7 linked regions of the Rattus norvegicus genome follow. The protein of the gene in region 1 binds, or shares a complex with, the protein of each later gene. Links are inferred from orthologs where the notes say so. Each region holds a gene or a part of one and is shown in the gene's direction. Other genes may lie near its edges. The genes, in order: Polr3d, Crcp, Polr3c, Polr3k, Polr3g, Polr3f and Polr3e.

Region 1 (4,032 bases):
TATTTCTAACGATATACCTGTTCAAATGAATGCATTAAGGAAGATAAATATATATATATATATACATATATATATATATATACACACACACACACACATATATATACATATATACTCCTATTGGTCATTTGTTTCCAACAAAGGATACAGTATTGTGTGGCACAATGTTACAGTACATCACTAATATTTTAATGCTAGCAGTCTATGGAATTCTAGCAGAAATAGGTTCCTTCCCTAGAACTACATAATGTTTTTAATTCGTATTGGGGATCTCTGTGGTGTAACATTAAATGACTTTTTCCCCACAGATTAAGTTATATATATTTGTATATATTAAATGTATACATCCATTACAATAAAATTTTTTTAAGCTGGGATTGGTGGTGCACATCTGTAATCTGTGCCCTGAGGGGTGTCTGTGAAGAGACAGGACTGCTGCCAAGTTCGAGGCCAGCCTGGTCTACTTAAGTTCCAGACTTGATAGGGTTACAAGAGTAGTGTTGTCTTAAAAACACACACTACACACACACACTCCCAACCAAAAAAAAACAAAAAACAAAAACTCCCACTTTAAGAGCAAACTTCAGTTCCAGGCTCTTTCCAGATTTGACTAAGCAATCATGAACCCAGATAGGCAAAGAGCTATTGGCTGCTCTGTCCAAACTGCGTTAGGACCTCAGGGATCCGCAAAGGAAGGCGCTCACGAGCAAAGGGACAAGCCCGAAGGTACAGTGACCACTCCAAGGTCAATGCAGGGAAGCTGCAGCCAGCCTCGGCCTGAGGGCAAGGCTCCCTATGTCCGGAGATGCATCCCGAGAGCCGACCTCACTGTTCACAGAGGCTGCGCAGTACACCCCGTACAGCAGGTAGGCGACCTAGGAGGCCCCCCCGACCCTGTGGACCGCACTAGCACTGTCATCCAGGAGCAGAGACACACCCCCACGAGTCACACCCCCGCACAGTTCAGAATCCACTCCCATATCCTTTTTCGCCCTCTCAACCCAGCTTTTCCCGACTCCGGGAAGAACCGGGAAGAGAAGGCGGAGGACAGCGAGGCACCGTCTGATAAATACTATGGTCCGATCACGCCCCCTTGATGTCACTTCCGCCCTAGGGTAAGATGGCAGCCCCCGGTTCTTGCCACGCAGACTTCCGCCTTGCCGTGAGACCGGCGGCCGGTGGTTGGTCTCGTTAGAGGTGAGGTCGTGAAACTCGGCGTAGAGCCTCAACGCAGGTACGTCATGCAGTCCCGGGGAGAGGGCATGTGACGAGTCCAAAGCTAGAGGTGGGGCGCTCCGGGAAACCTCGCCACGTGGGACTGGGAGGAGCTGTGGTGCAGCGGGAACGACGCACGGACGGGGGGGGGGTACAGAGGGGGATTACGTGGGTGGGGTTCCGCCCAGGGTCTTCGCATCCAGCCCTTGGAGTCACTTTGTTGCCTACTTTCCTCTAGGAACCATGTCGGAAGGAAACGCCGCGGGCGAGCCCAGCAATCCTGGAGGGCCCCGACCCCTTCTCTCTGGGGGCCGGGGACTTGTGGGCCGGCGGCCCGCTCCCCCGCTTACGCCAGGCCGCCTTCCCTCCATCCGCTCTCGGGACCTCACCCTTGGCGGTGTCAAGAAGGTACCGGCGAGTGTATTTGTACAGAAACCCAAATGCTTTGAGTTCCAGGCCGAAGGGAGGCAATTCGTGATGTTCATTCATATACGGCCATTTGTCCCTGATGGGATGTCAGCCTCTAGCGAGAGACCTTCAAGCCTAGGTGCTGGTACAAGACATTGACATGGTTTCATAGGCAATTAAAAGGCAGAGAACCTAGTTAATTCAAGACATTCGGAAGTGCTTATTATGTTATGGGCACCTTACAAACTCCCATGAAAGTCAGACAAAATTGCTTTACTTGGTAGAGTGTTCATAACTCTGTGGATGTCAGTAAGGAAGCAAATAATCTAGTGGTGATGAATGAATCTTAGGCATGCAGGTAACTAACTGCTCTTTGTCCTCTCCCATTATGTGCATAACAGTAGATATAAGAGTACTCTGAAAAGAAAGCAGAACAAACAGGATAAAGCTACGGTAGTCTCCCTGTGTCATCCATTTGTCAGTGCTGGCAGATCTGTCTCTCCAAGCCTTCCCAGAATTGTTGGTCTGTTGAGCACTGCGAAAATACAGTACTGTATTTTACTTTTCAGAAAACCTTCACCCCAAATATCATCAGTCGGAAGATCAAAGAAGAGTAAGTACATAGGATTAATGAACACCACTCACCCTCTTTTGCTCTGAGTTTGAGGAAGTAATTAGGTGTGCAGCCTGGGAATTTTAACTTTTTGCCATTGGCTTATTCACCAGTGGATCTCATGCTTTAATCCCAGGTTATGTAGAGATATGTTTGCTTTTGAGACAGTGCTTCTCTACATGGCCTTTCATATCCTGGAACTCACTGTGTAGATTGCTGGCCTAGAACTCCCAGGGATCTGCTTGCCTCTCAGATCTATGTCCTGAGCCCTGGGATTAGGGTGTATACCATGCCTGGCTCTGAGGCACTTTGCATTAGAGGGCCTGCCTGTCTGTCAATCCATCCATCTGTTTGTCTGACTGCAATGAATAGCTGAGATATCAACTTACAGAGAGGGGCATTTCATTTTGGACGTCCAAGCTTTGGAGGTTTAAGTCTGTGATGAGGTGGTTCTATGCTTTTGGGTCTATGGTATGGCAGTGAGCTGGTGTCAGAGAATACCCAAGGGGAGAAAGAAGTCAAGGAGAGGAAAGGGCTGAGTTTCTGTCCTCCTTCAGGAGCTGGACAACCACCCAGTAGGTTCCACCTCAGCTTCCTCCTAATTCTGCTGAGGTGGAGCAAAGCTCTTCATACTCCTCTTAAGTTCCTCTGCTTTCCAGTCTTTCTACTTCCAGGCAAAAACAGGACAGAAAGCCCACATTTTGGACAAGGAGGTAAAGTGAGAGGAAATTAAAGGCCGTGCTTTATCAGATGTAACAGGTGTAACAACAGGTGTAACAACAGGTGTAACAGCAGGTGTAACAGCAGGTGTAACAAAGGGTTGGCTTGTGATTCTCATGGTCTCTTTTCTGGCTTGCAAACGCTGCTCAGTTGGTTGAAATGAGGTGGGTGAGGAGGGTTTGTTTCCTGAGGCAGACCCTTATATCTGTCCTCATCCCCAGGCCAAAGGAAGAAGTAACTATGAAGAAGGAAAAGCGTGAACGGGACAGAGACCGCCAGCGTGAGGGTCATGGACGGGGACGTGGCCGCCCAGAAGTGATCCAGTCCCATTCCATCTTTGAGCAGGGTCCAGCAGAAATGATGAAAAAAAAAGGTACCAGGAAGGGATCTGGATTGCGGGTCAGACCACCTGAGAAAGCAGAACATGGGATTCTCCTTTCCTAGCTTGGTTTCCCTTGCTGTTGCTGTCCCCCTGATTTAACCCTAGTGAACGGCATGATTTCCTGCAGGGAACTGGGATAAGACTGTGGATATGTCAGACATGGGGCCTTCTCATATCATCAACATCAAAAAAGAGAAGAGAGAAACAGATGAAGAAACCAAGCAGATCTTGCGCATGCTGGAGAAGGATGATGTAGGTTCCAGCAGCCTGGGGGACCGGTTTCTTTGTATCTGCTAACAAGGGCTTTTAGGAAGCCAGGCCAGGGACATCTTTGGGCTTTTGGTCACAGGAGCACTAAGGTGGGGCTGGGGATGCAGCTCCGTGGAAAGACTGCTTGCCTCCATGTGTGAGACATATACACACAAAGGAGAGGGAGTGACAGGTCCTGAAATGGGCTGTGACATAGGCACACATGCTGACATTTAATGTGACCCCCCCACTCTTTGGCAGTTCATCGATGACCCAGGGCTAAAGAATGACACACGGAACATGCCAGTACAACTGCCACTGGCTCATTCAGGGTGGCTTTTCAAGGAGGAGAGTGAAGAGCCAGACGTTAAGCCTTTTTCTGCTGGCCCCAAGGAAGAAGACATGGAGGTGGATGTGCCAGCTGTAAAAGGTAACCCGTGCCACC
Region 2 (4,145 bases), on another chromosome or scaffold:
GCTCTCCAAGGCAGTAGCCTGTCTTCTATGAGTCTATCTCTGAAGCCTTGGCTTTGAACGACCCTCTTTCCACACACCTCAAACACTCCTGGCTTTGGGACGCCTCTTTGTCCATGTTAGTCATTCTCCTGTCTATGCTAGAGTCTAAACAGAGTGTGTCATAGTGATTTATGCCCTGCACTGGTCCCCTTACTGGGTTCTCAGCTAGCATGGAGAGTGTGTATTATTCATGTCTGAATCACCAGTGCCTGAGGGGGGAGGCAATCATTGTAAGATGGTTGACCGACTAACACCATGAACACCATTGTGGGACACACACACACACACACACACACACACACACACACACACACTGGTTTTTATGAGACAGGGTTCTCATGTAGCCTCAGGTGGCCTCAAACTCCCCATGTAGCTGAAGAGGATTATGAAAAACTGACTTTCTCGCCTCCATCTCCAAAGTGGAGGGATTACAGGTATGTGTCATCATACCAGACACCACCCCCCACTTACCAAAAAACAAAACAAAACAAAACTCAAACACAATCACCCGCAAACCATTTTAACATGGCTGAGCAGTGGGGGCTCACACCTTTAATCTCAGCACTGGGAGGCAGAGGCAGGCAGATCTCTGAGTTTGAAAGGCTAAGTAATGAAAATCTGTCTTCCCCATCCCAAATTTTAACGGTTGTATGGGGAAAAGGATCTCTACGTAGTCTAAATTGACTAGAACTCACCATGTTGCCCAGACTGTCTTCAAACTCAAGGCATTCCCCCTGCCTCAGCCTCCTAAGTGCTTAAACTATCTCTCCAGCTCTGTCTCTGTCTTTTGAGACTGGGTTTCTCTGCCTCCCTCTTTCCCCCTTGCTGGAATTAGAGGATTGTGCGACCATACCTGGCTTCTGTTTTTTGTTTTTTTAAACACAAGGTCTCAAACAGCTTCGGATGGCTTGAAAGTAATTAGGTAGGTCAGGCTGGCCAGAAACTCATGACAATTCTCCTGTCTCGGCCTCTCTAGTGCTAGGATTACAGGTGTGGGGCTGCATGCCTGGTTTAGGGATTTTTAACGTGGCCAAGGCAAACCCTAACAAAACCTACACTATGAAAACACCCGACAAGCTGAAATTAGACCAAGGTAGGAACACCTAGAATTAAGGAGGATCCGGGCGAGCCCTGCAGCGATCCCGGCATGCACCACGGCGGTCCCAGAGTGCCTTGCGGCACACACACAGAAACGGTGAGCAGAGCAGAGCTGGCGTAACGTGAGGTTCTTCTCTTCCAGCGGTTGTGTACGACGAGGCAGAGGCAACATGGAAGTGTAAGCGACACGTCCAGGGGAAAGCAGAATCAGCTGGGGACTGTGAGGCGGCTGGCGGCTAGACCTCCGGACCCGCGAGCAGGGCGGGTGGGCGGGGTGCACGGACCGGAAGTGCATGGAGGTGGGGCGGCAGGGGAGGGACCCTGCTGGTGTTGGAACCCGCTCTCCTCCGGTATCTTTTGGGGAGGGGAATGTTGGAAGGATAGAGAGGGGTTTTATTTTTTCTCTTTCTTCTGGTTCTGGGAATGAAACCCAAGACCTTGCACGTGCTCTGGAAGTAGTGTGACCCTGAGATGCGTGCCAGTCACAATCATCTTGTGATGTGGGCTCTGCATGTGCTCGGGGAAACACTCTACCACTGAGTCAGATCCCCAGCCATCAGCACCGCCATCATTGTTTTGTAATGGTGGAAATGGTACCCAGGACTTTGCTAGGCAAAGCCTTTGCCACTGACCTGCATCGCCATCCGTTATCGCCGTGTTCTTTTGGAAATTGGTACCCAGGGTCGTGAAAGTACTGGCTGTGCTAGTTTTCTTTCAGTTACTGTGACAAACACCATGACCAAAAGTAATCTAGGGGTAGAAAGGGTTTATTACATCTTAAACTTCCAGGACACAGTTCATTATGGAGGGAAGTCAGGGCAAGAACTCAGACAGGAAACTGAAGCTTCAGACCAGTTCAAGAACTCTCTCTGGTTTACTCTCTGTGTTTTCTAACTTCTTTATGAAGCAGTCCATGGATGGTGGCACCTGCCGCGGTCTGTATAACCCCTCATCCCTTTTATTTTTTATTTCTATTTATTTGGGGGGGGGTGTTGGGGCTTGCGTAGTCGTGGCTTTCCTGGAACTAGCTCTGTCGATCAGGCTATCCTTCAACTCCCAGAGATAGGCCTGCCTCTCCCTCCCAAGTGCTGGGATTAAAGGCCTGTGCCACCATCAGTTGGCCAGGCGGTACCCTCCTGCATCATTTAATAATCGGGACAGTCCCTCGTGGACACGCCCATAGAACAACTTGGTAAAAGACAGTTTATCATTGAGGCTTCTTTAGAGGATTCTAGGCTGTTTCAAGTTGACAGTTAAGATTAACCAGGAAAGCAGGCAAGGTTTTCTCCCCCTCCCCCCAGACAAAGTTTCACTGTAGAGCACTGGCTGTCCTGGAACAAGCTCTTTAGACCAGGCTGGCCTTGAACTCAGATATCCACCTGCCTCTGTCCTCGGAGGCATGGACTAAAGGCATGTAATACTCCTACCTGGCAACTAGGCAAATTCCTGAGATATTTCTCCAGCTGTTGTTGGGATAGCCTCTTCTTCTTTCTCTTCCTCCTCATTTGGTGGTGTTGGGAACGGTACCCACGGTCTTTTTTTTTTTCCTTTAAAGATTTATTTATTTATGGGGTTGGGGATTTAGCTCAGTGGTAGAGCGCTTGCTAGACAAGAAAAGAAAAAAAAAGATATATTTATTTATTATATACAAATACACTGTAGCTGTCTTCAGACACACCAGAAGAGGGCATCAGATCTCATTACAGATGGTTGTGAGCCCCCATGTGGTAGCTGGGAACTGAACTCATGACCTCTGGAAGAACAGTCAGTGGTTTTTTGTTTTTTGTGTCCTGTCCCCCCCCCCCCCCCAGCTGAGAACCGAACCCAGGGCCTTGCGCTTGCTAGGCAAGCGCTCTACCACTGAGCTAAATCCCCAAGCCATAGTCAGTGCTCTTAACCACTAAGCCATCTCTCCAGCTCCAGTACCCACGGTCTTGCACATGCTTAACACACACCTTCCACAACATTATTATCACTATTATTATTATTACTACTATTATTATTAGGTGGTGCTAGGGATAGAACTTAGGGATGCTAGACAGGTACTTTACCACTAAGCCACACACACCCCATTATCATATCGTGGTGTTTGGGATGGAAGGGACCTGAGCATGCTAGACAGTCACTCTACCAACAACAAAGCCACCCTAACAGTTTATTTTTCCATAAAGAAAATATTTCTTGATGGGCAAATGAAGTTTTTGAATATACTCCACCTGCGGACTTTATATGTACACAGTTGACATACCTAAATTGTGTTGTTATTCATGTTTCTTTGTCTTCTGCTCAATTGTTATATAGATACTATAGTTGGTCAGACTTTTTTTTTTTGGAGACAGAGTCATAAGTAGCCCAGGCTGGCTTTGAACTTGGCTATGTAGCTGAGGATGATGGAATTCTGATGCCCTGTCTTCACCTCAAGCCACATTAGATTAGCCATTCGGTCTCTGAGATGGGGGTCTCTGACTGGGTAGCTCAGGCTCAGTCTGGTTAAGCTTTCTCCATCTCTGGGTAGCTGGTGTCAGAAACCGTGGAAAGTGTCAGCTCTCTAACACGCCCCGGCTCTCCTACATCTTGCTGCTTGGTGTCCTTTTCTCCTTCCTCCTCCTCCTTTGCTGTCTAAATGTTGAACGCCTTAGTGCTTCATCTTGGGACACTTCCTTTGCACTTCCTTTGCATGTATTCTCAGTCACTACTCATTTTTATGATGGCGGTTCCTCAAAAACATTTCTGACCTTTTTTTGTCAGGTTGCTTACATTAAAATGTATCTTGTTTTCCTTTCCAGTCATTAGACAGTCTGTTACCTACTTTTTCCTTTTTTCCTACGGTAGGGTCTCATGTTATCCAGGGTTAGCCTTGAACTTGATATGTACTCAGGAGGACCTTAAGCTTTTCTCATCCTCCTGCCTCTACTCTCCCAGTGCTGTTCCTATTGGTATATGATACCTTGCCCTGTTTATGCAGTGCTGGGGATGGGGCTCAGGGCTATGCATGTTAAGTGAGCCCT
Region 3 (3,266 bases), on another chromosome or scaffold:
GAGCCTCCCTCCAGAATGGCATGTTTATGTTTGGAGGCTGTAACTACACAGTAACCCACAGTCTTCCTTCCCCAGCCTCTGGGGTAGCTGGTGTTAATTACAAGCATATACCACTATGCTTGGTTGTAGTTTAACTAATTACTTGTCACTGGACATTTGGGTTATTTTTCATTCTTCTCTGCTTCTGTCGGGGTCTATCTGTATAGCACTGACTGTTTAGAGCTCACTCTGTAGACCAGGCCCCAAATACAGTTCTACCTGCCTCCCTTCCAAGTTCTAGACTTAAAGGTGTGCAGCCCTCTTGGCCTTTGTTTTACTCTTATAAACAATGATACTGTGAATATTCCTTAGATATTTTTATGTTTTTGAACCCTAAACTTAGGACATCTTGTTTCAGTCACACTTAGCAATTCTGTGTCTCTGGCCCCACTTCCAGCCTCTCCTTCTGTCCCACAGATCTTCAGATCCCTGCCCGTCGGATATAATATCTCTAAACAGGTTCTGGATCAGTACCTCACGCTGCTGGCAGATGACCCAGTAAGTGTCTTGCCCCTTAGTCTGATCACGGTCTGTCTCCTATAGCCTTGGTGTCTTCCTGCCATCCCAGACAAAGCCCTGTTGCCTGCAGGAAAGCCGCCTGCCACAGACTCTTGACCAGACTTGCTCCTTGGGAAGAGAATTATGTAACTAACACCATTCCCTCTTTCTTTTTAACAGCTAGAATTTATTGGAAAGGCTGGCGACAGTGGCGGAGGAATGTATGTCATCAGTATCCTTCCCAGTCGCCTATTCTCTCAGGACCCCTGAGTTAGGAAGCAGGAGCAGGGCCTGGGAAAGATTTTTTTGGTTTTTTGTTGTTTTTGTTGAGACAGTCTCTGAAGCCCATCCTGGCCTTGAACTCACTGTGTAGCCTAGAAGTTGACAGTACAGCCCCGGTCCTCCTGCCTTTACCTCCCAAGTTCTGGGTTAGAAACATGTGCCACCACCAGGAAGGACTTTGTTAATGCTTAATATACTAAACAAGTTTAAAAAGTGAAATTTCTATTAAGTTTTCTGTGAATTTTCAGTGAGCTACATTAATGAAAATAAAAAAGGCTTCCACTGTCACTCAGTAGCACCACACTTACTGATCCAGGTGCTGGGCCAGATCACCAGCATTGACAGAGAGGAAGAGGATGTGGGCGGGGAGGGGAGATAAGAAAGGGAAGGAGCTGGGGAGAGCCAGTGCCAGTGTGATGGTAAATGCTTATAATTTGAGCAGTTTAGGAGCTGAGGCAGGAAAGTTGAATGTTCAAAAGTCAGTCTAGGTTACATAACAAGATCCTGTCTCAGAAAAGAAAAGATTGTTTTTAAAAATCTTACTTAAGTGAACCCTTACAAATGTTGATAGATATCACACATGAAATGTGTTAATATACTTACATATCACACATGAAATATGAAAAGCAAAATAGCAGTTAATTTTTAGTTTAGAAATTTAGGAATTCAGTCATGAAACTAAGGTAATAGTGACCAGGCTAAAACATTACTAAATGTCCTTAATCCTCTACCTAAGACCTCCATAAGGCATTAGCATCCCTATCCACTGCAACTCTGGAGTCTGTCATCCAAGAGAGGTAAGGGGCTCATTGATTGGGGTTGGGCTCAGACACTTCCTATCCCCACTCCACTGAACAAGTAATTCAGTTTTTATGGCATTCCCCACCACACTTGGTCTCATATTTCCCATAAAGTTAGTTCCTAGTTAGGCAAGCTAACTAGCCACCCTAGAGCTCTGTAATACAAGCACTGGTGCTCTAAGGAGGGGGCCTCTGGTAACAAGAGAACAGTGCCATCACCAGCCTCGGGAGCTGAGGAAGAACGGATGCTGTTTTCCTTCTGGCCCAGACCTCACATGTGGATTAGTAACACTCTGAGATAGGAGCTAACGAATGCCAAGTGCTTCCCTGTCTCTACCCAGATTCGGGTCTCGCTGTGCCCGGATATTCCGTCTGGTGTTGCAGAAGAAGCACCTGGAGCAGAAGCAGGTGGAGGACTTTGCAATGATCCCTGCAAAGGAGGCAAAGGACATGCTGTATAAGATGCTCTCGGAGAACTTCATATCACTGCAGGTGACCACGGCCTCAGTGCCTGCTGAGAAGTCAGTCTGGGCCCTCACAGACACTACAGCCACCTCTGAGATAGAAGGCAGAGTAACACAGACACAGCAAATCCTTGAAGGATCATCTAGACTTTAACTGGCCTCAGAGAGACAGACAGAGCACACCAAGAAATCAGCTCACAATTCTAACTTCCTTGTCCTTTCTTGCCCTCAGCCAATTAATTATTCCTGACCTGTCTCAGCCTTAAATCTCGAATAGAGTAACTTGTTCAGCATAGCCTGAATCCTGCAGATCTATCGATATTGAAGACCCTTTGAGGAAGTAGGTTGAATGGAGTGTGGGGTCAACTCACTAAGCAAGGCAGCCACCATCATCTTCATAGCTGTAAAGTGATGGTGGCTGCTGATATAAAAACTGTGGTTCGGACCAATCATGGACAATACAAAAAAAAGGCAGACTGAGCAACCATGGTAATGCATACCTATGATTCTGTACTTAGAAGAGTAAGACTGGAGGATTGAAACTGAGTATCACACTGTCTCAGTTATTAGTAAAGTCTATTTTGAAAATCAAATACAATCCACCTAGCCTGTGTAGAATTGACTCAGTAAATATAGCTGCCTTTCCTTTCCTTTACCCAGGAGGCTGATTCACAGATAGAAAACAGAGCAGCCTGCTACGTGTGGCTGCTTATGTCATAAAGACGGCCTCTGATTGGCTAGGAAGGAAAGAAGTATCAGGGCTGACAGTACCAGGAGGATGGGTGTTTATTTTGCCCATTGCAAATAACAGTACAATTTCTTTTTTTATTTCTGTGGACCAACAGGAAATTCCTAAAACGCCAGACCACGCCCCGTCCAGGACCTTCTATCTGTACACCGTGAATGTGCTGTCAGCCGCCAGGATGCTGTTGCACAGGTGCTACAAGGTGACACATGCGCTCCTCCCCGTCCCCTCACAGCTCGCCCTCCCAGCTCCTCTGCCCACTCAACCCAAGTCACTTCAGAACGCTATGCATTTCTAGTCTGTCTTCTCTTTCCTCAGAGCATAGCCAACTTGATAGAAAGGCGGCAATTTGAAACAAAAGAGAACAAGTGAGTGCAATCTCCCGTGAACCATTTTCAGTTTGGGTTTTGGTTTTTTTTTTTTTTTTTTTTTTTTTTT
Region 4 (4,354 bases), on another chromosome or scaffold:
GGCTGCCTGGGGCACATCGCCTCTGACTTTCAACTTTATTTTCTGGATCATCCTGTGAGGGATGTTGTTGAAGTCCTGTTCTGGGCATGGGTTGTAGTTTGCATTCTTCACACTTCTGTCAAGAATCCTTGCAAAGATAATGATGGGTCTCCCACCTGTACTGAGCTGCTTCTCAGTTCCTAGTAAAATAATGATCAGAGCCCCTAAATTATCCCCCCAAGAATCCCTCAAAGAAACATGCAGAGTTAACCAACAGAGACTTGAGCTGGGGCTCCATGCTTTAGCCTCTTCACCTGCAAATATTTGGGAACAAGGAGACACAAGTGACTAGGAAAAGTGTGCATGTGTTGCGCATGGGCCTCCAGAATCTACATGGTAGACCTCAGGCTATTACTGGAATACCTACCATCCAGCTGTTTTAGATCAGCTCTTCAGGACTAAGGTTGGAAGCTGGAGGTTCATTGTTGCAGGCTTTTTCTTTATCATACCATGAACTCTGGGATTGTGTTTACTGGAAAAACCTGTTTCTAGTTGTGGTGTGACTCGGCCCTTGGCACACAACCTTTAATCCCGCTGGCTGGAATACAGACACGCCCTTAGAATGCTCCTTTAATGCCCAACAATGAAGGTCAGGTTAGATTGTAGAAGGTATCACCCATATTTGAAAATGATGTCTAGGGCTGGAGATATGGCTCAGTGGTTCACTGACTGTTCTTCCAGAAGTCCTGAGTTCAAATCCCAGTAACCACATCTCATCTCGTCTGTAATGAGATCTGATGCCCTCTTCTGGTGTGTCTGAGGATAGCTACAGTGTACTTTAAATAAATAAATCATTTTTTTTAAAAGTGATGTTTGAGTGTCCGACAAAGTGGGGAATTAGAGAGTTTTTTTTTTGTTTTTTTTGTTTTGTTTTGTTTTGTTTTTTTGTACAGAATAGGGTATGCCCAACTCTCATGAGAGAGAAGGAGGCAGTTTTCCTGGGACAGTTTTTACAGAGAACAAACTAGACACAGATGAAGACAGAATGTGCCAGAAGATTAGAACAGATTGTCAAAGTTAGTATGAGGCCAAGCAGAGCAATTGAGGAAAGGCTGAGAGAGAGAAGCCAAATTCAATCAGTTTGAGCCGGAACAGCTGAGTTGAACCAGCCAACCAGCGCTCAGAACTAGAAGGGGTGCGCTTATTCCGCAGTGAGTCTCAGAAGCTGAAAACCTTCTAGGCCTGAATTAGATTTTACAGAGGGTAGAAGTTTCCAGGCCTAGATACTGCAGCTCAGCAGCACCTCATCACCCAGTCCGGCTCACCACCATCAGGCTCCCCAGGTGCTGCCATCTGCCGGCACCATTAGTTTGCGTTTCAGCTAGGGAGATGTGCGCACGCGCAGAAGCTACACGGACAGCGAGTGCAGACAGCATGCAATTGGCTGGATGGGGAAGGGTCATCGGCGGTGACCAATGGCATGCGCGAGGCTGCCCGCCGCAGTGCCTACCGGGAACGTGTTGCCGATCGCCGGTTGCCCGTAACGGAGGAAGGGAGACGGCTTCAGATTGGGCGCCTGAACCTCGGCAGCGCCACACAGAGCCGCCGTGTGGGAGCTGAGCAATGCTGCTGTTCTGCCCGGGCTGCGGGAACGGCCTCATTGTGGAGGAGGGGCAGCGCTGTCACCGCTTCGCCTGCAACACGTGCCCGTACGTCCATAACATCACCCGCAAGGTGAGGTCCACAGGCCGGAGCTCTCCCTGCGGTCCGCGGGGCCCAGGGCAGGCGTCGGCGCGCTCGGACCTCCCCGCTGCCCGCTCAGAAATTGTGCGAATTTTAGTTCATCCCCCTACGCTGGACCTCGCAGATTCCAGTCCGCTCCTCACCTCTGATTTCAAATCCTCGGGTTCTTTAGTTGCTCGTTTGCTCCCATCCCCTATCTTGATTCCTGAGAATCTTCTTGCACGCAGTGCTGTCAGGTTCTTCCCTCCGCCCGAGTCGGTCTTCCCTGAATAACTACGCAGAGTGACGCACTTCTCGTTCTCGTCTCCCTCTTCCCCCGTCTCTGGTGCATGTGTGCCTCCCTGTTTCTCTCTCCCTCTCCTCTTTTAAAATAATGGCTGCCTTATTTAAATGTCAGCCCGTGCGGCTGTTTGTGCACCTATAATTCTAGCACTCGGCAGGAGAATAGGTTCAAGGCTCATCTGGGCTGCATAGCACACACAGAGCACAGAAAAGCCAAACCCAGTTCTTTCTGTTTATCCTCATTCCCTTAAGGTTTTCACAGAATTCATTGTCTTCTAATGTTTTATATCGTTGTTGCTACTTTGTGTGTGTAGTGCTTGTGTTGGAACCCAGCAAGCTGTGTTTCCAGCCCTCGGTGTTTTGTGTACCTTAATTCCCGTTCCTCTTTACCTCCGTGCCTTAGTTCAGTGACTGCAGTTGTGCAGCACTGGGCCTTGGTGACTCCTCGTTCCTAATGTTTGCACATTAGAGCTGTGTGGTAGGGGTTTAGAGTCAGGATTTGTGGTAAGATGAATTGTGACAGAATTTCTAATTTCCAGGGATGCCTGATAAACATAGGAAAGCATCCAAATGTGACCTGGGGTGCTGGTATACCCAGCTAAGTGACTTCATTTGTCTGTCTTTCCTGTTGGATTATTAGGTGTCCTAGGGGTATGAGAGAAGAGCAAGGTTTTACTAGGCTGTTTTTTCCTTTCAGTTCTGTCTGGTGTTTCCTTCGGTCTCTAGAGGTCTGAACCTCTAGAACCTCTGTTCTGTTTGGAGGAACATCCGAGTCACAAAACCCCTACATTTTAGTGACTCACACTGCTCTTTGAAGAAGACAAATTTTGTAGAGGAAATGCTGGAGGGAGTTGTGGCTTAGTGACCGACTTGTAAAACTGTACAATTACTTCCAATCTGGTGGCTTGTGTCTGTTAGGTAACAAACCGAAAGTATCCAAAGCTAAAAGAAGTGGATGATGTGCTTGGTGGAGCAGCTGCCTGGGAGAATGTGGACTCTACTGCAGGTGAGGATTTTCCCGTAACAGAGCCAGTGACTCAACCTTGTTTGTTATTACTTATTATTATATTTTATATTTATATTGTTTCGCTAGTTTGTGTGTGTGGTGCTTGTGTTGGAACCCAGAAAGCTGTATTTCCAGCCCTCGGTGTTTAATACTAATAATAAACTTAGTATTATAATGCAGTCCTGTCTGTTATTAGGGCCAGCAAGATACCCTGGTAAAAGCACTTGTTGCCAGATCTGTTAGCCTGAGTTTGATTCTTGGAGCCCAGATAGTAGGAGAGAACTGACTCATGGGAAGATTTTGTACCACCCTCCATGCACACATGGGCGTGCACAAGTGTAAAAGAACTTAAGAAGATGTAAATAACAATGTAATATCAAATAGCTAGTGCATGAAATATTTTGGTGATGTGTTTTAATTACAGTGTAGGCACTCTAAAGTCTTTTACATTTTTGTTGTTGTTAATTGATTTTGTTTTTTTGAGACCTGGTTTCACTGTGTAGCTCTGAGTGTCTTGACCTCGGAGATCCACCTGTCTGCCTCCCACATGCTGGTACTAAAGTATCTGCCACTGACACCTGGCTGTAATAACATTTTTTTAAAAGTAGATTCTTTCAAGGATTCTTTAAAGCAAAGTTACTATAGTGATACCTGAACCGTTGTTTCATTTAGAGTCTCAAGTCCGATGTGGACAAGTATAATTAAAAAATAAATCTGGCAAATATTCTCTTTTTGAAGCAAATTTAGAGTTCATTACAAAAAATTTCAGCATTGATTTATATATAGTTGTTGGGAAGGGGGGATCCATGCTCTAGTGGGTGTGGACTTCTCATGAAAATTGTGTTGTATGTATTTTCAAATACCAACACTGAGAAAATGATCAGCCCTAGTCTTTTATTTTCATTTCGTTTTATTTTTTATTACATGGATTTAAAAAAATTATAACTGTGGACGAAGGATGGTTGCTCAAGCTTATGATTCCAGTTACGATTCTGGTGCTCTCTGAGTGGAGGCAGAAGGCTCAGTGCTTATCTGGGCTTTTTGAGACCCTGGCTCAGCCATTCTGTCAACCGATAAATAGCTGTGGGGTAGGATTTCAGTGGTTGAGAGCATGGGACTGGGTTTCCTTCCCAACTTCCACCTGGCAGCTCAGACCTTCTGTACTTGTACTTTCAGGTGATCTAATACCCTCTACTTGCATCCAGGGACACTGCATGAACGTGGTGCACAGACTACCCAAAGGCAAAACATGCACATAAAATAATTATAAAAAATTAGGGGGGGGGGTTGATATTTGCAACTGGAGGTATTAAAAAGTAAATGTTTACATCTTGATTTGTTTGA
Region 5 (3,554 bases), on another chromosome or scaffold:
GTATGTAGCAGAGGATGGCCTTGTTGGGCATCAATGGGAGGAGAGGCCCTTGGTCCTGTGAAGCCTCGATACTCCAGTTAGGGGAATGTCAGGGAGGGAGGCAGGAGGGCGTGGGTGGGAGGGGGAAGCATCCTCATAGACGAAAGGGAGGGGAAGTGGGGGAGGGGAAACTGGGAAAGGGGATAACATTTGAAATATAAATACATAAACTATCCAATAAAAAACACACGTGCTCACTGGCATCTTTGGCACAGCTGCTTGACGGGAAGATCCGAATTTTACTGATTTCCTTTCTGGACAGTGCTTGAGCCGGATGATAGCGTGGCCAAAATCTAAAATTTGGAAGTCAGTGAAGGATAAGTGGTAACTAGGTAGAGTGACAGATTGAATGTGTCTGGTCATGCCTGCTCGGAAAGGTGGGACAACCCCCCGGGGGCACATACAGTACCCTATGGATTGGCCTTCACTTGGGTGTGGTTTTCCTTGGGACAAACTGCGCCTCCTTGGTGCTTACCTTTGCCACCTTTTCCAGAACATTCCAAACACAGAAATCTTAATGTGTTTATAATTTTATAGCAGTGGTTGTTTCTGGTTGTCTCCAACTAAAGCAGCTTTGTGTATCATGATGGCTGCCTCTCTGGGTAGAGGTAGCAGCATTAGGTCAGGTCTCAGAGCAGTGACAGATGCACCTTCCTTCCGTGTTACCTGAGGGAGGGGGCTCTTTGCGTGTCCAGTGTCTAAGCTAGAACTGCTCTCGGTCTGCATTTTATCTCCTCTCCTGATGTGAGTCCTTCTCTCCTTATACCTGCACAGTCAGCCTGAGTACGAAAGACTAAAGACAAAATCGTTAGCTTGTGGAAGGAACAAAGTAACTACACAGCGTGTGTCCCTGGGATCATAAGAAAAGTCTTGAACAGCTTCTGTCTCACTCTACTGACATGCATGGTTGGCTGTTGTGGTAAAGATGAGGCTATTTGCTTCGGCCGTGTGATATGGCAACAGTAGAAATACAGTCTTTGGTCCTTACAGCACAGTGAACAAATGCTGTACTTTCAATAGTACAGTTGTGGCTTTTTTTTTAAAATAAAACAATTGTTTGTAATTTTGAGATAATCAGTGACTTTTTAAAAAGATAATAGAGCCTACTTTCACAACAGAAAATAAATATTTCAGTTCCGTTATAATCGTATTTAATTGTAGCCATTTTTACCTATGATCAAGTTAAAACAGAAAAGACATATCTTAATATTAATGTAGCTTATTTTGTATGTGTGTATGTGTGTGTGTGTCTGTCTGTCTGTCTTAGATGTTTCAAAAGGTTTATGAAAATTTGGGTTACTTAGGATTTTCCAAGAAGATGGCCAGCTGGGAAGTGTACACATGGTATTGTCAGAGTAACCACCGAGGAAGCGCAACAGTTGTTATTAGAGTGAGATAGCCTACATGTGTACTCTTCTTGGTTCTAATTTGTTCTGTCTGAGTGAGGTCAATTGCAAGCAATATTGCTTGAATTTAATTTAAAATTGAGTCTTGCGAGCTGGAGAGCTGGCTCTGTAGATAAGACGTTGACTGGGTTAGCATAGTGTCTGATGTCCCAGGCCCCAGCATGCACACAGAAGCCAGAAGGACACGGCAGCAGCCTATAATCCCAGCACGTGGGAGACGGAGAGAAGGAGGAGTCCCTAAGGCAAGCAATGGGCTGGCAAAACTAGCCAGAACCTGCCTCGATAAATGAAATGGAGCGTGGGTGAGGAGGGCATCCAGTGTCACTTTCCAGCCTCCACATGCGTGTTCAAATGCATGAACACATTAATATACACACGTGCATTCTACACACGCATAAACATTCTAAATTCGTTCATTTACACTGGATTTGGTTAATGTGATCTTCAGTTTAAATTAGAATTAAAATAATCTTTAAAATGAACATTTAGGGAGAACAGCCAAGTTGGATGTAAAATATGACTTATGTTTGTGGATAATCAGCAAAGCCTTAAGGAGTAATAGAGCCTACCTATACCTTAGCTCACTGCTCTTCTAATTACCGTTAGTGATAATCAGAAACTAGCTCATAGGAAGCTTTCATTATGAATATGCAAAATTATTGCTGTGCCCCTCTCCCAGAAAACCTGTGAAATTCTGTCCCTTGTGCAAAGTGAGGGTCACCAAACTGAGCGAACAGAGACGGTCATAAAATGAGGTCATTTCTATCAACTGAAAAAATGATTGGTAGTAACGAGGCATTTGTAAAATCGAAACTGTAGTGTGGTGTCCAGCACATGGTTTTCCAGGTAGACAGCGAGAGACACCCAGAGGCCAGAGCCTTTCCAACTCTGTTTCCCCTTTTGAGTTGCTAATACCTGCCAGCGTGTTCAGTGATGTCTCTTCATCTCCTTTTCACAACCTTGTATCGTGAAACAGAGGTTCTTGGCAGTGGGACGTAATGAAAGACAGAGGGGACAGGAGTAGCATAAAGTAAATTATGTCAAGCATTTTAGGAGCAGGTTGGATAGGAACCTTGAAAAGAAGGCACGGTGGATTAGGACTCTAACCCCAGTGTAGCTGAGGGAGACCAGTGATAAAGAAACAGAACTGAAGAGTGGCTGTTGCTTTAAGGGCTGGTGGCTGCCCCTTCCCTGAGAGGTGGGAGGTCAGCCAGTGGGCCAGCATGTTAATCTAGCTCTTCTTTGGAGGCTGGGTGCACAAATCAAAGATGTGGATTAACGAATCTCATTTTATCAGGAACTGGAAAGGAGAGGCGAGGGTGAAAGGTCGGATGAAGAAAACGACGAGAAAGAAGGGAGCAAAGAGAAAGAGAAAGATGAGGAGGAGGATGGCGAAGAAGATGCAGAACAGGAGGAGTATGATGAAGAGGAACAAGAGGAGGTAAAAGTCTGTCTGAGGATGATAAGAGTCTGTTACCTAACCTTAAAGAGTAGCTGTGGCATGGGGCATGTGATGTCGGTCGGCAAATAAAACCTCGGCCACAGTCCTAGCACTCAAGGATGACTGGGAGGAGTTTGACGAGCTGGGGCCATAACATGGTGAGACTTTGTCTTAAAAACAAAACAGAAAAAAAAATTTATAGAATTGGAAATATATTTCCATCACTGGCATCAGTTGCTTGGTATAAAATGATAACACAAAATTAAAACAAGGAGATCAAAGTAACCAGATCAACATCTTCTGCAAGCAAGGACTTCAGGAACTCACTGAGAGTAGTACAATTCATACTTACCAACATAAAATTGAGGTACCAAAGGGCTTAGGCACAAAGACCTAGAAGGACATCCCTGCAGGGCCATCGCGGCTTGGAATTCCTGGTTTTTAGAAACATGGTATGTTTGAAAAGCTGCAGTCAGTCAAGGTGTGTGGGCAGGGCGACATGGTTATCTTGACCTCTTGAGGACTGGAGAGACTTCTAGGGTAAGCAAACCTAGCGTGAGATCGTTTACTTTCCTCTCTCTACCCGGAGCGTCCAGCTGTGGAGTATTTGTTATATTCTCTGACCATGTTGTATGAAGCTCTGTGTTCTTTTGCAATGTATATAATTA
Region 6 (4,135 bases), on another chromosome or scaffold:
ACTGTTTTGTAAATAGCAGTACAGAGACGTTATGGGTCTTTTCACTGAAGTGGGAGGAGTCCTCTTAATCCAGTATTTGCATTTTGCACTGCTGTTTCAATGATTATGGCTACACAATTATTCAATTATAATGTACACATTCATCTTACTTTTATAATCAACATTTTGCATCCTCATTTTTTCCAAGACAAATAATATAATGCCCTGGCTGTCATGGAGCTTGATCTGTAGACCAGGCTGGCCTCCAATTCACAGAGATCCACCTGCCTTTGCCTCTCAAGCGCTGGGGTTAAAGGCATGTGCTACCATGCCTGGCTTACTTAAATTTTTTCATTTAACAATTTGTTGTTCAATGGTGAGGTTATAGTTTTGTTTTTTAAGTTTGGTAGACGGAATTATGATAATGTTGCTGCGAACATCTTTGCGTTTTGACATATCTTGTTCTGGAAAGTGGGATAATTAGATTTAAAAGACGAATTTATGATAGTTCCAGATTGAGGGCCAAGCATAAAAACTACAGCTATCTGACCCTTCATAAATGAGGCTGGTTGTAGAGGGATTTACCAACCTTCACATTTCCCTTCGATTGAGAGTCAATTAAAATAAAGATAGCTGAAAACTAGATTCTAATAAACACCGATGGTTAGAGACTGAGGTGCTCACGGTTAGCTATTAGCTGCTCTTGGAAATCTGGGGTGGTCAATGGACCATCACGAGACAGAGATGGCTGATTCGCTAGGTCCACACTGCAGCCTGGTGTCGGTGTCATGCCACCAGCATCTCCCAGCATCCTTCACCTGAACCAACCTCCTCGCTGCCCAAACCAAGACCCAGACCCGCGTCATGTCCTGGCCTTGCGAGGCAGTCAGAGACGCCTAGATTCCTCCCAACCCAGTGAGAGGTGCCCTTCTCCTCACCTTCCTCCAGCCTCAAGGACAGAGATAAGGACCCCCGACGCACGTCCACTGCCGCCAACCGGGTGTCTAGACTCTCACCGCCTCACGACTGCTCCTCCGCAGCAGCTTGCGTTACCACAGACGCTGCGGACCGCGCCCCGCCCACCAGGAGCCGAGCAGATGATTGGCAAGGAAATCGACTTCCTAGCAACCAGCCCTGCCCTTGTCTCTGGCTGCAGCCTCCGTCTGGTACCCGCCCCCAGCTCCTTCTGCGACACTTTCTTTTAGGTGTCCAAGAATATGCCTTCTCAGCGGCTGGAAGAGACTGAAGAAGGGGACCTCACTCAGCTCACTGGAGCCAGAGGATCTCGTTCGATAGGTACTGAAATTTGGGACAACAGAAAGGACAAGTTGCGGCGACCCTGCTGAGCAAGGCGGAGCAGGCACATCATGGGCGCCCCAAGCCGACCTCATGAAGAAGGCCCGGCGCGACCGAAGGAAGAAGGTCCCTCGTCCCTCCCACGCCCCCACCCCTGGCGTGCGCCTCCACCGGTTCCCGAGAATTCCAGCGCGCTCCTCCGGGCCACTTTTCCTCTAGTCTTGAAAACCACCCTCATGGCGGAGGTGAAGGTGAAGGTGCAGCCGCCGGACGCGGATCCGGTGGAAATAGAAAACAGGTAATGCAGTGAAACTAGGTTCCCGACGCTAGGCGAGCAGTCAGCTGGATAGCTGTACCCCTTCTCTCTCGGTCCCCGGGAGAGGACGGAAGAGGCTAGTTGAGCACGCGGGAGCAGGGTTGACGGCTGTCTGGGAGTCCCCCTCCCGATTAGGGAGAGTAGAACTCTTCAGAAGCTCCAGAGCAGCGTGACAGCTTGAAACTTTATGTAACTGGCTCCTCCGGGGTTCTATTAGAGCACTTGGAACGTGACAGCAGCCAGTGCCAGAAAAAAAGACCTGCATTTTCCCCCTAGTTCTTGGGCATGTGTTCGAATCCAGTATTGCTCGGTTGCCAAGGGAAGTTCTGTGAGAGAACGTTCGGGCCAATTTAGGGTTCAGTTTGTGATTACAAAGAACCATTGAGCCAAGTAGGTTCAGTGAGTGCCTTAACCCCCAGCGCACATGTGTTTTTAGGTTATAATGTAGTTAAAAAGACAACGACTTTCTCAACATTATTATTGTGGGTAGTAAGCTTATTACACCTCCAAACAAATTAATCCTTCCAGTTTGTTTGGAGAAGATAATTTCTCAAACAGACTCCAGTTATGGTGAATCACTATAACCCTCTCTAGACACGCACACGCACAGGAACACGTGCGCATATTCTACATTTGCATTCTGCCCACAGACCTTGGATTCAATTTGCCGTACTTATTCCCATTGATAAAACTGAGATTTTAGCTTAACTATCATGCATCTTCCTTTTTTGCCTTTTAAAACAAGCAAACATAAATCATTAATACCTTTGTTCCTAGAATTATAGAATTATGCCACCAGTTCCCTCATGGAATCACAGATCAAGTAATTCAGAATGAAATGCCTCACATAGAAGCCCAGCAACGGGCAGTGGCCATCAATAGACTATTGTCCATGGTAAGGTGAATTCAACTAATTTATGTAATTTGTTGTATATTATGTATTTCATTGCCTCCTGTCACATAGTTGTGATGTTTAACTTCATGTGTCAACTTGACTGGGCCGTGATACTCCTAGATCTGCCTATATGCTGTTTCTGGGATGTTCTAGAATGTGGTATTTGAATTGCTGTGCTGACTGTAGAAGGTGAGTGGGCCCCATCCAATTAAGTATCAGCCTACGTAGAACAAATGGAGGACAGAAGAACTTACCCCAACCTACTTTGAGTCCCAGGACCAGTCTTCACCACTCTTTGTCCTTAGGCTTTAAGATTCCATCTACACCATGGACTTTTCATCACCGAGGCTAATGCATCAGGTCTGCGACATTGGTGTATGCCCCTGGCCTTCTCGAGTCTCCACCTTGCAGGAGACTTACAAGGATTCTCCCCCACCATAATCGTATGAACTAATGATGGCATAATAAGCCTCTTTTTTTAGTGAGTCAATATACTAATTGTTAGGCCAGAATTTTTGATTTGATTCCAAACCAGGGAAAGGATTAGCATGTTTGAATTGGAAGGAAAGATAATTACGTGCCTGCCATTTGACAAGATGAAGAAGCTGCATGCAATTCTGTTATAACTATGGTATTATCTTCATTGACACAAAAGGGCATGTGGGTGTGGCCTGTTACTTCCTGCTGCTAGCTTTTAGCCATTCCCTATAAAATATTTCCACTGTGGGTTTTTGTTTGGTTTTTTTGGGTTTTTTTTTTTTTTTTTTTTTTTTTGGTGAGTTATCAATAGCCTATTGATTGGGTATCACAGTGTAACTCTGAGCTTTTTAAGAGCAGGAAGAAGTCCCACTGAGGACTTCTTTGGGAAAAAGTACAGGCTTAGCTTCAGAGACAGTGCAGTAGAATTTTCATTGAAACTCAAGAACTTGGAGCCCAAATGCCTCTCTTCCAACTTTTGAAAAATGTCCCACCAGACACTGGCTGATGCTTTGGATCTCCTATATCTCTACTTTCACAAGCCATTTGATTCCTTTTTCCTGAGGACGTTTTGGTTTGGTTTTATTAGTTAAGAGTCTTACACTAGGCCTCTTCTGAATGACTTTTCTTTTTTTTTTTTTTTTTTTTTAAAGATTTATTTATTTATTATATATAAGTACACACTGTAGCTGTCTTCAGATACACCAGAAGAAGGCATCGGATCTCTTTACAGATGGTTGTGAGCCACCATGTGGTTGCTGGGAATTGAACTCATAACCTCTGGAAGAGCAGTCGGGTGCTCTTAACCGCTGAGCCATCTCTCCAGCCCGACTTTTCTTTTCTAAAGCTTTCAACCTGATGTTTTACCTCAAGGCACTAGACACAGATGATAGGGATAGGCAAATCTTTTGTTAAGCCTTTGTCTTCACCTTTGTGGCTCAGAATTTGGCAAACTTCTCTATGAAATAGTAAATAAAATAATTTTTGTGGCCCAACTGGTTTCTGTCACAACTGTATGACTTGTCATTTTAATAAGAAGCAGTCATGAGCTGTGAACAGTGATACATGAACAGGTGGGTGTGGCTTTTCCTCATGAAATTTTATTAATAAAAAAGCAAACAATGGGCCAGTGACTTCTGTTTTCTCCCACAGAAGACAAGTTGGTGATTTAT
Region 7 (4,292 bases), on another chromosome or scaffold:
GAGAGACTCACGCCAGACAATAAAAAAGGCACAGTGGATGTGAGGGAGAGTTCAGATTTTCATAGCAATAAATGTGAAAAACGAAGAGAACGGCCTTGCTTTGTCCCAAACTCCAGAATAGCAAAATTGACTCAGTAGGAATTAATAACCTGAAGATTTCGGTGACACACACCTTTAATGCCAGCATTTGGGAGGCAGAGATAGTGGGATCTCACTGAGTTCCAGGCCAACGTGGAGTTCCCAGTACTTGGGAAGTGCAGGCAGGAGGATCAGAAGTTCAAACTCACCTTTAGCTACACACATAGTTCAAAGCCAGCCTGGGGCATTGTGAGCCTTAACTCAACAAATGTGTGTGTGTGTGTTCAAATGTATGCAGCAATAAGTTTAATTCTAGGTGGTGGAAATACGGGTGACTATTTTTTTTCCACTGTGTCTTTTTCAGTCTTTTAAAATATCTAGGGCTGGTGAAATAGCTCAGTAGGTAAACATACTTGCCTCAAACCTGACAACCTAACTGCCCCCACATGGTAGAAAGAAAGAACATACTCAGGCAACTTGTCCTCTGACCTCCACAGCATGTCCTGCCTGCTCCCCGCCCCTCCCCCACTTCCAAACAAATAAATAAGATAAACGTAAAAGTCTGTATGGGTACATTGAAATGAATAGATACTTAAAAATGAAGTCTGGTTAAAAACAAAAGCAAAAACAACAACAATAACAACAAAAATCCCCCCAAATATGGTGAAAAACCAACCAGCTGTATATCTCTATACGTTTCTGCGTTAATATTTATATCCCAACCCATTCACAATATGACAATTTTAAACACGTAATTTTTCAGATAGAAATGTGCAGACCTGGGGTCACAGTTCAGCTTTCAGAGTTCGGTGAAAGTTACTTCCAGAACCAGACGTCTAATTAGGGCTATGTGAGTGACAGAGTGGCTTAACTTGACACCTTAACCATCTGCCTCAGAACGCAATTAAACTTTTTTTTCTTTAAAACTTATTTGGAACAAGCTTGCATCTAGATACTTTTATTTTAATAAGTGGCATTATAATAATATTGTTTATGACAATTTCTATCAGCAGGAGATAAAACAAACACAACTTCAAGAATTTAAGGAAAATATACGTGTCAATCCAGTAAGTAGCTTCTTAGGAAACAGCTTTAACAGCTGGGTAGCGTGGCCGAGCGGTCTAAGGCGCTGGATTAAGGCTCCAGTCTCTTCGGGGGCGTGGGTTCGAATCCCACCGCTGCCAGGGTAGTTTTTTTGTTTTGTCTCTGCCTCCTGCGCTCTGAGTTTCTTCTGCAGCCACAGCGGCGACCCCTGCCGTCAATGTGTGCTCTCTGCACCACGAGTGGCTCGCGAAGGGGCGGTCCCGCGCTCGCCGGGGCGGGGCATTGTGGGTAAGAGGAAGCGCGAGGGCCGGCCCCGCTCCCCCCACGTGTCCGCCGGAGTTTCTCCAGCAGCAACATGGCCGCTCCCTGATAGAAGACCCGGCCGCCGCCGTCTCTGCAGCCCACGGGTCCCTGGGCCGTTCCGCCGCCCGCGTGCGGCCCCGGCGGAGAGGTGAGACCCGACTCAGCAGCCTCGGGATTCTGGCCCCAGCCGTCGCACTCGCTCTGGGCTCCTGGCCGCGCTGCTGACTAGGCCAGAGAGGCCCGCGCCGCTGCGTGCCGAGGGGCCGCGGCCTCCCGGGGCAGGGCGCAGGGCGGCCACCCAACTTTCCAGGCCGCCCTGGGCCTGGGTCGCTCCGCACGGCTGGACGGTGGGGAGGTGACGGCGGTACGGCCCGCGCTGACTCAGGCCTCGGCCGCGCTGCCTCGCCCGGGCCTGGCTCACGAACCGCACCTGCGAGGGCACTAGTGCCCGGTGGCGTGGCGGCTTTTGGAGGAGTGGGAAGGGCGCCTGAGCACCGGCGACAAGGAGAAAGCCATTGGATCGCGGGGCTGCCTGCATGGGCGGGGGTCGTTGCCTTAGCTGAACTGGGTTAACTCAGCCCTAGCGGGCCCGGGACGCCTCATTCATTGATCTGTGTTTAAACAGAGTGGCGACTGCGCGGACCCGGGGACCCTCCAGTAACTGGGGATAGTGGTGCACATTGCAGGTTATCCTGGAATCCTGTTCTTAGAGTTACTGGGTTTGGGAGCGAAACGATAAGATCTTACATTTATCTGTAAAATGGGGATAATATGATTCCTGTGCTGCTTCTTTCATTTGTGGCTATCTTGCTCGGTCTTACATTGGAAGAAAACATGTTGCCACGTAGCAACAGCCCTTCTTATAGGTTCTACTTATCCCTTTGAAGCCGGTGTGTGGTTTATTGCTGGTTTAGGATGAAAATAGGAAAGATCCGGGGTTACACAATCCATGACATTAATCAGCTGCTATGTTGTAGAGGTGGGATTTGAACCTGTAAAGTTTCGCATGGGAGTCCAACCTCTTAACCACTATACCATACGGCCTTTTACCAAAGATGTGTGCAGCATATTGGTTAAGAATAAAATCAAGGCTCTTTGACATCAGCTAGATTTGGATTTCTTGATTACCCGTTTTCTTGGGGCTGTGACCTTGGGTAAATCAATTCTAAGCTGGGCACTATAAATTTTGATTTGCACAGCTAATGAGAAGATTAAATATTTGGTACTATATTGGTACCTGTTATCATTAACATTTGCGAGAAAGAACTGTGATTTTTTTTTTAATTTTAAAAGTAATGGTCCCATAACAACAAAGTATAATTATTATCTCCACTTAATGGTCCAGGAATATAAAGTGTAGAGAAGCCTTCGTGGAGTTTAAAGTCTAGCGCAGAGGACAGCCAACACCTGACCAGCAAGCAGATCAGGAAGTTCCAGGTTAGGACCAGTCAGGAGTAAGGAACTATGCTTGTAATGGAAGGGGCTGGAAGCGGCTGTTCCAGTTGGTCTGTCAGGGAACGTCTCTAATCCTGGAGGGAGTGGCAGTTGTTACCACTGCATCCTGAAAATGACCTGGGGTTGTGCAGAGGTCCTCAAGGATGCTTGGGACTTGGCCTGTTAGAAGTCGGTAATTGATCACCAGGCCATGGGGAGATGCTTATGTGAAGACAGGGACAGGATCATGTAAGAGCTTAGGGGCTCCTGGAAGGATTTGTTTTATGGGACAGTTGAAGGGTTGGGAGCAAGGTAGCGATACCATGGTAGCGATACCATAGTAGCGAGGCTACTGCCAGTCACAAAGACTGGCATTCTCTTGAGAATTGGAGATAGAGGAGTGGAGCTAGGGAAGCCTTTTTGTTTGTTTTGTGTCTGTAGGTCCCCCGTCTGTCGTCCCCGTGGCCCCCCCCCCATGAGGCTTTGATATATACTCACCCAGGATGGCCTCAGACTTGTTATCTTCCCCCCCCCTCCGCCTCCCAAGTGCTGGTATTACAAGCATAGATCACCACAGCTTGCTCTGGAAGCTCAAATTGTTGGCTATAAAGATTTCAGGTCAAGATTTATTAGTGAGTGTTGTAAAATTGGGTAGGGGTCTTGCTCCAGCACTGTTATTTTGCAAGGGCAAGGATGGAAAGCCACACTGTGTGGATGTAACAGCCATGCTACACAAGGTACTGCTTCAGCTGAGGCATTTCTGCATCACTGGTGGGAAAATATTATTGTTGGTCTTAGGCTCCACCTTTAAAAGCCACTGAATTGGATACTGGGAGGCTAAAGGGAGCTGATGGCCTCTGCAGGTAACCCAAGCAGGTGCAGTGTTCAGAGGGAGGAGATGCTAAGAGGGACCTGATTCTGCCCGATGGCAGGGCTGGGCAGAACTTCAGCCCTGAAAGAATAATTGAGACTTAAGACTCTCGTAACCACCCATAGTCTCTTTTTGTATGTGCTGTGTTTCCTTAATTCCCCCTGAAATCCTGTCTCAATTGGCCACTAAGTGCAGCTGCCTGCAGAGTAAGGTACGTGCTTGACACATATCTGTGACACTTGGTAGCCAGTGCAGATGCACGGTGGCAACCACATAGGACTATGCTCAGATGGTTGAGACCTGCCCGCCACATCTTGATCTGCTGTGATGGCCCATTTCCCACCAGCCTGTCTCTTTCCCTGTCCCAGATCATCCTTTGCTCAGAATCCCTCTGGAGCCCAGGCAGCCTTTAGGTTCACATTTTTCAGGTACCGGGTAGAGCTGTGCTGTACCTGCTGAGTTCTAGGGACCAGGTATACAGCAAGGCAAAAGTAGACTGACTTAGTTTGTTGCTTACAGCTTAATGGTAGGAAGAACAGATACAGGGGAAATTATCCCATGG

The links.
Region 2: Polr3d (region 1) and Crcp share a complex: the UniProt entries of both Homo sapiens proteins name them as parts of the RNA polymerase III complex. The link is inferred for Rattus norvegicus from reciprocal best matches to the Homo sapiens genes POLR3D and CRCP.
Region 3: Polr3d (region 1) and Polr3c share a complex: the UniProt entries of both Homo sapiens proteins name them as parts of the RNA polymerase III complex. The link is inferred for Rattus norvegicus from reciprocal best matches to the Homo sapiens genes POLR3D and POLR3C.
Region 4: Polr3d (region 1) and Polr3k share a complex: the UniProt entries of both Homo sapiens proteins name them as parts of the RNA polymerase III complex. The link is inferred for Rattus norvegicus from reciprocal best matches to the Homo sapiens genes POLR3D and POLR3K.
Region 5: Polr3d (region 1) and Polr3g share a complex: the UniProt entries of both Homo sapiens proteins name them as parts of the RNA polymerase III complex. The link is inferred for Rattus norvegicus from reciprocal best matches to the Homo sapiens genes POLR3D and POLR3G.
Region 6: Polr3d (region 1) and Polr3f share a complex: the UniProt entries of both Homo sapiens proteins name them as parts of the RNA polymerase III complex. The link is inferred for Rattus norvegicus from reciprocal best matches to the Homo sapiens genes POLR3D and POLR3F.
Region 7: Polr3d (region 1) and Polr3e share a complex: the UniProt entries of both Homo sapiens proteins name them as parts of the RNA polymerase III complex. The link is inferred for Rattus norvegicus from reciprocal best matches to the Homo sapiens genes POLR3D and POLR3E.

Annotation. Positions count from the first base shown.
Region 1 is NC_086033.1:51,923,113-51,927,144, reverse strand, and holds the start of Polr3d (DNA-directed RNA polymerase III subunit RPC4), read left to right. Parts: upstream 1-1,192; 5' UTR 1,193-1,234; exon of another isoform or gene 1,235-1,285; intron 1,286-1,453; 5' UTR 1,454-1,458; coding exon 1,459-1,623; intron 1,624-2,192; coding exon 2,193-2,236; intron 2,237-3,177; coding exon 3,178-3,329; intron 3,330-3,465; coding exon 3,466-3,590; intron 3,591-3,848; coding exon 3,849-4,017; intron 4,018-4,032. UniProt on the Homo sapiens protein: DNA-dependent RNA polymerase catalyzes the transcription of DNA into RNA using the four ribonucleoside triphosphates as substrates.
Region 2 is NC_086030.1:32,292,916-32,297,060, reverse strand, and holds the start of Crcp (DNA-directed RNA polymerase III subunit RPC9), read left to right. Parts: upstream 1-1,293; 5' UTR 1,294-1,307; coding exon 1,308-1,315; intron 1,316-4,145. UniProt on the Homo sapiens protein: DNA-dependent RNA polymerase catalyzes the transcription of DNA into RNA using the four ribonucleoside triphosphates as substrates.
Region 3 is NC_086020.1:186,937,750-186,941,015, reverse strand, and holds part of Polr3c (DNA-directed RNA polymerase III subunit RPC3), read left to right. Parts: intron 1-456; coding exon 457-537; intron 538-717; coding exon 718-769; intron 770-1,555; coding exon 1,556-1,616; intron 1,617-1,960; coding exon 1,961-2,111; intron 2,112-2,928; coding exon 2,929-3,030; intron 3,031-3,146; coding exon 3,147-3,196; intron 3,197-3,266. UniProt on the Homo sapiens protein: DNA-dependent RNA polymerase catalyzes the transcription of DNA into RNA using the four ribonucleoside triphosphates as substrates.
Region 4 is NC_086021.1:189,358,811-189,363,164, forward strand, and holds the start of Polr3k (DNA-directed RNA polymerase III subunit RPC10), read left to right. Parts: upstream 1-1,538; 5' UTR 1,539-1,602; coding exon 1,603-1,713; exon of another isoform or gene 1,714-1,715; intron 1,716-2,922; coding exon 2,923-3,010; intron 3,011-4,354. UniProt on the Homo sapiens protein: Core component of RNA polymerase III (Pol III) which synthesizes small non-coding RNAs using the four ribonucleoside triphosphates as substrates. Can mediate Pol I proofreading of the nascent RNA transcript.
Region 5 is NC_086020.1:13,687,279-13,690,832, reverse strand, and holds part of Polr3g (DNA-directed RNA polymerase III subunit RPC7), read left to right. Parts: intron 1-2,742; coding exon 2,743-2,886; intron 2,887-3,554. UniProt on the Homo sapiens protein: DNA-dependent RNA polymerase catalyzes the transcription of DNA into RNA using the four ribonucleoside triphosphates as substrates.
Region 6 is NC_086021.1:152,360,498-152,364,632, forward strand, and holds the start of Polr3f (DNA-directed RNA polymerase III subunit RPC6), read left to right. Parts: upstream 1-1,300; 5' UTR 1,301-1,346; coding exon 1,347-1,573; intron 1,574-2,368; coding exon 2,369-2,486; intron 2,487-4,135. UniProt on the Homo sapiens protein: DNA-dependent RNA polymerase catalyzes the transcription of DNA into RNA using the four ribonucleoside triphosphates as substrates.
Region 7 is NC_086019.1:184,895,969-184,900,260, forward strand, and holds the start of Polr3e (DNA-directed RNA polymerase III subunit RPC5), read left to right. Parts: upstream 1-1,446; 5' UTR 1,447-1,573; intron 1,574-4,292. UniProt on the Homo sapiens protein: DNA-dependent RNA polymerase catalyzes the transcription of DNA into RNA using the four ribonucleoside triphosphates as substrates.